Linked DNA regions of Macaca fascicularis. The main gene of each other region encodes a partner of the protein of the gene in region 2 in a complex. Links are inferred from orthologs where the notes say so. Each region holds a gene or a part of one and is shown on either strand. Other genes may lie near its edges.

The links.
Region 1: the proteins of CINP (region 2) and AIRIM are in contact, whole or in part, in a cryo-EM structure (PDB 8RHN), measured with the Homo sapiens proteins. The link is inferred for Macaca fascicularis from reciprocal best matches to the Homo sapiens genes CINP and AIRIM. Residues at the interface, in NP_116019.1 of Homo sapiens: Leu161, Leu162, Thr165, Glu169, Asp177, Leu178, Leu180, Ser181, Tyr182, Ser184, Met185, His188, Pro190, Tyr191, Val192, Glu193, Ser194; in NP_001289959.1 of Homo sapiens: Leu107, Gln110, Ala113, Ala114, Asn116, Leu117, Phe119, Val122, Ala124, Leu125, Phe128, Pro129, Asp130, Leu131, Arg134, Leu135, Lys138, Gln139, Ala142.

What each region holds. Positions count from the first base shown.
Region 1 is NC_088375.1:197,229,379-197,233,645, forward strand, and holds the start of AIRIM (AFG2-interacting ribosome maturation factor), read left to right. Parts: upstream 1-1,467; 5' UTR 1,468-1,680; exon of another isoform or gene 1,681-1,920; intron 1,921-2,119; exon of another isoform or gene 2,120-2,120; 5' UTR 2,121-2,250; intron 2,251-2,744; exon of another isoform or gene 2,745-2,808; 5' UTR 2,809-3,004; coding exon 3,005-3,109; intron 3,110-3,180; exon of another isoform or gene 3,181-3,732; intron 3,733-3,847; coding exon 3,848-4,128; intron 4,129-4,267. Other genes in the region: CDCA8 (borealin), read right to left, coding at 675-803, 926-1,019. UniProt on the Homo sapiens protein: Part of the 55LCC heterohexameric ATPase complex which is chromatin-associated and promotes replisome proteostasis to maintain replication fork progression and genome stability.
Region 2 is NC_088381.1:170,474,476-170,478,743, reverse strand, and holds the start of CINP (cyclin-dependent kinase 2-interacting protein), read left to right. Parts: upstream 1-1,468; 5' UTR 1,469-1,507; coding exon 1,508-1,514; intron 1,515-4,268. UniProt on the Homo sapiens protein: Component of the DNA replication complex, which interacts with two kinases, CDK2 and CDC7, thereby providing a functional and physical link between CDK2 and CDC7 during firing of the origins of replication.

The DNA of each region.
Region 1 (4,267 bases), on a different chromosome or scaffold from region 2:
GGGCACAGTGGCTGACTCCTGTAATCCCAGCACTTTGGGAGGCTGAGGCATGCAGATCACTTGAGGTCAGTAGTGCGAGACCAGCCTGGCCAACATGGTGAAGCCTCGTCTCTACTGAAAATACAAAAATCAGCAGGGCATAGTGGCAGGAGACCGTAATCCCAGCTACTCCGGAGGCTGAGGCAGGAGAATCACTTGAATACAGAAGGTGGAGGTTGCAGTGAGCCAAGATCGCACCACTGCACTGCACTCCAGCCTGGGTGACAGAGTGAGACTCTGTTCCAAAAAAATAAAATAAAATTCCTGATGTGTGAAAATTATGTGAAATTCACATTTCAGTGTATCCACAACTAAAATTTTATTGGAATACAGCCCATCCATGCCCATTCACTATAGCTGTTTTGGACCTGTAACAGCAGAGCTAAGTTGTCCGACAGAGACCCCTCCCACCGGCTCAAGTAGCCTAAAATATTTGCTACCTAGGCCTTTAGAGAAAAGGATGGAGACACATGACTTACGGAAGTGAGACAGAGAGTGAAAGGGTCTGCAATTTTCCATAAGTGGTCATGTCAGATTTCATTAAAAGGTGACATCTGAGCGAGTCCTTTCTGAAGGGTGTTACCTAACCCCACGGGGCTCCCGGCCTCCGCCCAGGGAAGCTCTCCAGCTCTTACCGAAGTAGTCAAGCCAGTTCATCTGGCGCAGCGCCTTGGGGAGCCGCAGGATCTCGATGTTGTAGAGGTTATCCACCTCCTTGAGGAGGTTCTGCCTGTCTGACTCAATTTGCTTGATTCGTATTTCCACTGCGGGAGGGCAGAGCCGACAGGACACGGGTCACGGGGCGGGTGAATGTGTGCAGCTCGTGTCCCCACCCGCCAGCATCCCGCGACCGCCCCAGGAGGCCGCGACGGCCTGGCCCCTTTACCTTCACGGTCGAAGTCTTTCAGAAAGGAGGCGAGCTTCCGCCTCCGTAAGGAGTTGATCTTGGCCACCCGACTACTGCCCTTCCTAGGAGCCATGGCGCTCGGCGGAGGCTGCGGGGAGCGGCGGAGATGGGGCAGGGAGGCAAGGAACCAGGTAGGGACCAGGAGGGCGGATGGGGACCACCCGAATAAGTCGCCAGGCACGTACCTCCGGTCTCGCGACAAGGACTGAGTAAAACCTCGCTATGCCAGTGAGAGAGAGCGGCTCTACCGTCAACCGCCACCTAATTCAAACTCCACAGCCACAGGCTGACGAATGAGAAACCGCCGTCCCACAGTATCCAATCACAAGCAAGTTCCTACCTGCCCGGGGTCTCCCGCCCAATGCGCTCCCTATAGCCGGAGTGCGTCAGCGCGGGCGCCGCCGTCGCGGGTGCTCCTGGGAGTTGTGGTCCAGGCTTGTTTCCCCGCCCTCCCCACCAACCCACCCGGCTCCGCCCTGGCCGGCTGCAAACTATACAAACTGCGACTCCCGGCAGGCCTTGCGGCGGGTCCTCATTACCCCAATCTTTGAAGGGCTAGGAGCGGACTAGGTCAGGTCGGCTGTAGGATTCTGCTCCGGGGCCGGCGGCTGCTTCTTCCAGGCCTGGCTGCCACTGAGTAGCCGAGGGGCCGCCGTGACACTCTGACTGATTGACTGGTTGGCTGCCTACGTCGGCGCTCCTCAGGGCCCCAAGCTCCCCAGGCCGAACTTGGGGCAAGTGGAGGGTCGGCGGAGACAGAGCAGCCCCGACAGGGTTTGGAAGGGGTCGAGGCGGAATGACAGGGGAGCGGGGCCGGGGTGCAGGCTTTGGGGTGGGCGCGCCAGCCCGTGGCCAGTTTGGGCAGCGAGTGGGGAGAACCCTCTTGTTCCTCGCTTGCCCGCGGGCCGGCCACTCCCGTCCAGTTCGCGTCTTGGCGCCTCGACTGGGTGTGCAGCGCGGGGCCGCGACTTCAGGTGCGAGTAGTGGCGCTTGGCAGCTGCCCACGCGGTGACTGCAGCGTGAGCCGCGGCCACCACACTCCAGGGAGCCCAGGGCAGGAGGCAGCTCTGGGTGTTCTGGCCGTGGGCCTGGGAATGGGCGTGTAGACCTCGAACCCCGCTGAGCCGCAGTCCTGTCGGAAGTGCTAACTGTGCATCTTTGCATCTGCCCACAGCCACAGGGTTGGATTGCTCAAGGGTTGTGCTGAGACCCAGCAAGGCTAGAGGCTAGTTTCGAAGCTGTAGCTCAGGCTGAGTCTCAAGGCGGGCGACGACTGGACGGCCAGACCGGCGAGCTCTTGACAGGTTTGTGGCCTGATTGTTTGGATTTGGTGCTTTTCACCTGTGGATGCGGAATGAAGCCATGTCAGAGGGGTTGTTTGTGTTTAAGCGTGCATGTTATAGGCTATGGGAGTGATAATCTTGCCTCTCCCCCTCTGAGTTCAGGAACAATCAAAGAAATAAGCAAAGGTGCCAAGCAGGCTCCTGATGGGCACCAGCGAGCTTGGGGACAGAGCAGTCCAAGCATAGAAACCCTGGCAAGCCTGGCCCTTCCTAGAAAGTCCTTTCTCTCTCTCTTCCACCCTGGTTTGTTGCTCCATATACAAAAAATATTTGAATGTCGCTCTTCCGCCCAAGGTCAGCCCTGGGCAGTGGGTGGTGGGGGTGACACCCGAGTCTGCTGGGTGCCTAAGGATCTCCATCAGTTAGATGGCCAAGATGAGAGGGGACGACAACCCGTACCTCATGTAGGCTTTCCCGCAGCAGGTGTTTTTATGATGGGCAAATTGGGCTTCCAGCCTCTCGGTTTCAGGGTTTCCTTCACCCGACTCCCCAATGTGCCCGACCTCCCTGGGCACCTAGGATGTCCACCTGCATCTCAGCGAGAGCTGCCACGTCAGGAGCCCGTGATTCACTAGTTTTTGCCAGTTGGTTGTGATACACAATGTCAAAAGTGTCATTAAGGCACAGCCGAAGGCGCAAGCTGAGAGGAAAAGACTCCACAGTTAAGAGGACATGCCACCACTGCCACCCAATTTAAACTGCCGCAGGCTGACAAATGAGAAGTCGCCGTGTTTGGACGGTCCCAACATCCAGTCCCAAGGAAGCTTCAAGCCGAGTGGCCAATCCACATGTTGGACTACAGTACCCAGAAGTAATTTCGGTACTATGATATATTTTCGCGACTCAATAGCCTTGCAGGCCTGCGGAGGAGCTTTGGGGGCGGTCGCCTGTGAGCATGCGCAGAGAGACTATGGGCGCGTGGTGCTCACGCTTTGGGTGTCTTGACTTTTAAGTTTTTCCGCTGGTTTCAGGAACGCGACCGGCAGCCTCGGGCAGGGGAGACAGGACTGTAGGTCAGAGAAGAGACGGCGATTGGCCGCCGGGAATCCTCTGAAGCAGGAGACTGCCCTATCCAGGTTACCCTTCCCAAGGGGAAGCCAGGATCTCCTTCAGAAAGCTGAGGCAGGGCCGGGGCTGGTGGCTCACGCCTGTAATCCCAGCACTTTGGGATACCGAGACGGGCGGAAAACCTGAGGTCAGGAGTTCAAGACCAGCCTGGCCAACATGGCGAAACCCTGTCTCTACTAAAAATACAAAAATTAGCCGGGCGTGGTGGCGGGCACCTGTATTCCCAGCTACTCGGGAGGCTGAGACAGGAGAATTGCTTGAACCTGGGATGCAGAGGTTGGAGTGAGCCGAGATAGCGCTACTGCACTCCAGCCTGGGCGACAGAGTGAAATTCCGTGTCGAAAAAAACAAAAACAAAAAAAACCACTTCTGGAGGTGAGACAACTCCTGTGTGAACACGAGGACGGAAATGACGCCCACCCTCGACCCAGTGCCTCCCGGACTGACTTGCCACCCCAACGTGGTTATTTTCTATTTTTATCTTTTTCAGCAGAAGATGACTCAAGACCGGCCTCTGCTTGCCGTGCAGGAGGCCCTGAAGAAGTGCTTCCTGGTGGTGGAGGAGCAGCAGGGCCTGTGGCAGAGTGCCCTGCAGGACTGCCAGCCCCTCCTGTCTTCCCTCAGCAACCTGGCGGAGCAGCTGCAGGCCGCACAGAACCTGCGGTTCGAGGATGTGCCGGCGCTTCGGGCCTTCCCAGACTTAAAAGAGCGGCTGAGGCGCAAGCAGCTGGCTGCTGGTGACATCGTCCTGGACAAGCTAGGGGAAAGGCTGTAAGCAGCTCCATAGTGCTCTTTCCTGGTGGAAGGATTTTAAAACGAGGTGTTTTATATGTAGCTAGTATCAGTCCAGAAGGTGTTTTTCTCCTTGAAAGCGTGGCATTTGGAGGTATCTCAACCTTCCTCACTTACC
Region 2 (4,268 bases):
AACATGGGACGTAAGTCAGGTTAACAACAACAACAAAAACAAAGTCAGAGGTTTATCAAGGTACATTATAGCTGGGTGTGAGAAAACACAAAGTCCTGCAGCTTAAAAGACCAGGAATCACTGGTGATCACAAGGAGCTACAGTGGCTTCATTCCCAGATTCTACCTATGCCCGCGATTTGGGTTTGCGGATTTCCCAGAACTCTCTGTTTACAAGACCTTGGCTGCAAGGAGGCAGTCAACAAGTGCAACTGATCACTCCAGTAGATGAGAAAAGAATGTACCCAGTTTGGTATCCCACATTCTGCCAACAAATGGAACATAAGTCACAAAACAGAATAAAATTCCTGAATCCCAATAAGAAAGAGAGGAAGAAAAAAGGGCAGGGAAGAGAAATGGAAGTAGAGAAGGAGTAACTAAAGTCATGAGAAGTCAGAGACATATCAGAACGGACTAGAGGGCGAGAAGGCAGGCTAGCACAAATTGACAGCAGAGGCTCCCCTTTACTGAAATGTACAGCGGCAGGCACCATGCTTAACTTTACATGCACTGACCCATTTAATCCTCTCACCAAGCCAGAGGTAGAAACTATTCTCATCTCCATTCCACTGGTGATGAAACCGGAGCGGCGTGAGGTACGGCACTTGCCCCAGCACAGAGCGAGGAAGATGCCGCTTTGACCTGCCCGGGTCTGACTCCAGGACACCCCATTCTTTAACCCTTACTACCTATTCTGCCTCCCAGGCCTTCAAATAGGGTTGGGAAAGGAGTCATTCGCTTATCCATTCATCGAACACTGAACACCAACTGGGTGAGTGTCAAGGCCTGGGGCCAGGCGCCGGTGGGCGGATGTAAGGGACGCGGGCTGCGAGTGGGGGACAGAACGCGACGTCAATCCTAAGGCGAAGGAGCACAGCCCGCGGCCAGACCGGCAGCCGGGGTGCAGGGTGGGACCGAGGGCACGGGGCGCGCCGCGGAGGCCTGAGGAGGGGCGGGCGGCCCCCGCTCCCCGCTGCGGACCGCCGGCTTCCGCGGGCGGCAAGCCAGGCGCTCAGTGTGTTGTGGCATTTAGTGTCCGCCACTCCGCGCGGGCGAGACCGCGGGCGAGGGAGGCAGGGCGGACGGGCATGGAGACCCTGCGGGGCTGAGGCAAGGGAAGAGTGGCCTGGGGGAGGCCGAGGAGGGGGCGAGGGGCCAGGCGTCGGGGGCGTCGGGGTCGCCTGCGGCGTCGCGGGACTCACCTCCCGCGGCAGCCCCTCCGGACTCGTCGGCCCCACCGGGCCGGAGGAGGCGGGGATGGACTCCGGGCCGCGGGGGCTGCCGGGAGCCCGTTCCCTGGGCAACGGGGCCGACACCGGGGCCAGCACCGAAGAGCGGCAGTTGGCTCCGCCAGGTGCTAGAGCGGCAGAGCCACAAGTGGTAGCGGGCGGGGCGGACGTGACGCAAATGCGTTTCCGGCGGGGGTGGGCGGGGCTTCGCCTCTCCTTCTAGGGATCTCTGCGGACCGCATGGAAGGTGCGTGAGATGGGTTCCTTTCCCGGGGCAGGGTGGCTGTGAATGTTACTGCTTGGGCCGCAGGTTGGGCCAGAAGCTGAGGAGCTCCCCGGATTAAATGAGGTTAAATGGAGGTCAGATGCCTTGCCCCAGCCTAGCCCGCAGGCCCCGCGCAGCCTCTGCTGGCTGCTCGGGAGACAGTTTTGCCGAGCCTCCGTTTTTTCACATGTGGAGTGACAGATGAACGGGACGATATACGCAAATGAGTGTCAGCAGATCAGACACCCAAATTGTAATTATTTTCACTATAAATTAGCACTAACAGAGTTCACTGGGTGCCAAGCCTTGCATGCTCAGCTCCTCCAGTAACTCCTCTCTGAACTGCCTTGTCAGAACATTCTGCTTGTAATGAAAGCTGGCTTTCGCCTAGTGCTCAGTCTGCTGAGTGCTGCTCCAAGTACTTTAAGTGAATCATCTCATTTGAACCTCACAGTGATCCCATGAAGTAATGTCAACCCCATTTTGCAGATGGGGAGTAGAGGCTCAGAGGGGATAAGTAACTTAGTCACTGTGCCCTCACCCTGCCCTGTCCTGTGACGCTGATGACTGGTCTGTCTTTACTGGCCCTTAAGTTTCTTGAAGTCAGTTATGTTTTTGGTTCCTAAATATGTGCCCAGTATGAGTCAGGCTGACCATAAATCAGATGTGGTCCTGCCCTCAGAATCTCCTGCTGGGGGAAAACCCTCAGACAGTTATAGAACAGGTGGTAAGAGCTATTCCTCCATTTACCTCATTTTATGCAAAGCTTCCTATGTGTGGAAGGTTTGAAAGAGAACAAGACATAGTTCCTACCCTAGTTGAATTCCCAGTTTAGCAGGGAATATAGACATTAAACAAGCAAATACACTCCACCGATGAATATCGTGATAGCAGAATTACAGGATGTTCCACATATCTACCCCCCAACTTGGGGGATCCAGGAATACTTCTCTGTGGAAATGACTTTCTAAAAACCTGAATCAGATAATTTCACTGCCCTACCCAGAGTTTATTGCTCACTCCCCATTGTATTAGGTTAGTGCAAAAGTAATGGCAGTTTTGGCCATTAAAAGTTGTGGCAAAACCTGTTACTTTTGCACCAGTCTAATACTTAGAATAAGTCCAAACTTCTTATCTTAAGCTATTAGGTTCTAGTTGTCTGATCACCTCCTCACCCACTAGTCCTTTTCTGTCCATTTCATTCCAGCACACTGGTTTTTGTTTGTTTGTTTTATTTTGTTTTGTTTTCTGTTTTTTGAACTCACCAACCTCATTCTCATAATTAGGGCACATACTACCGACCTACCCTTTTTCTGGCTTTTCATCATTCAGATCTCAGCCTGAATGATACCTTCTCAGGGGGTCACACTAACACAAGACCCTGTTTTATTTTCCACATACACTTACCATGATCGGAACTGATCGTGGCCATTTAAGCGTTTATTATCTGCCTCCCCTTTGGAAAGTAAGTTCCTTGAAAACGGTCCTGATCCATCTCATTCAATCACTTCATTCCCCCATGCCTGGCATATTGTAGACAGTAAGCAAATATTTGTTGTTTAAGTAAAGAATGAGTGATAAATCAATATGATATTTAAAAGTGAGGATACTAAGTATGAGGCAGGGGAGTGGGGACACACACAGATAGGAAAAACATTCCAGGTCAAAGTCAGAACTTGGACAGAGCCAGCTCTGAGGCACAGAGGGCAAGTGGGAAAGGGGGAAGCTGAAGGGATGGGCAGAGCTTGGATAGTAGAGGCCTTGAGCTAACAGGTGAGATACTGGGTTTTTGCCATGTGCCAGGCCTCACAGCTTCACATATATTATCTCATCTCAGCAATCCTATGAAGTAGATACTATTTTTATTCCCATTTTACAGATGAAAATGTTGAGGCTCTGAAAGGTACATTAACTTGCCCAAGATCTCACAGCTGGCAGAGCTGGGATTCAGACGCAGGCAGTGTGGTCTTCTGACTCGAGACGTCAAACCATCCAGCTGTTGTGTGTCCTGGATTCCTGAAGGGGACTTTATCCTGTGGGCCGTGAGAAGCCTTTGCGGGGTTCAAAGTAGAGAAGGCGAGAGGGCACCGGAGGGCTGGGGGAGAACAAACAACCTGAGTTGGCTCTTGGTGGTCTGGGGGTTGCTTCCCACAGGCAGTGGGATCCGGGTACATCTTGGAGGATAGGCGCCATGAGCCTGAGGAAGGAAGGCGCTTTCCTGCAGAGAGAACACGTGCAAAGGCCTGCAGGCACCTCAGCTTTTCAAGAGCTGCCAGTAGTTCATTTTCACTGGAGATTGACAGGGGGCCAATGTGTATGTGTGGGTTGATGTACGTGTTGATGCAGAGGGGTAGCTAGGTCTGGAAGGACTTTGGACTTCCTCCTGATTTCCAAGCAGGGCCGTGGCAGCATCGTGATCAACTCTGCATCTCTGTTGTCTCAGTGTCTTGAAATGATTAGCACTCATGAGCCATGCCACTCTGAACAAATTTAAAGTATCAGAGTGCCTGAGACTAGATAGTGGAAGTACTCAGGAGTCAGGGCTAGATAGATTATCCTGTAGGGAAGGTAACCGGAGCCATTGAAGAGTTTTAGCAGAAAGTCACAACTTTACCTTATTTCCAATCTTTGGAAAACAAAGGGCTTAAGGTAAAAATTTTGCGGAGCCATTAAGCTGGAAAAGGATTCAGCTATATCTGGTGAATCTTAAAATGTTAAAAATATTCTATGTAGGCT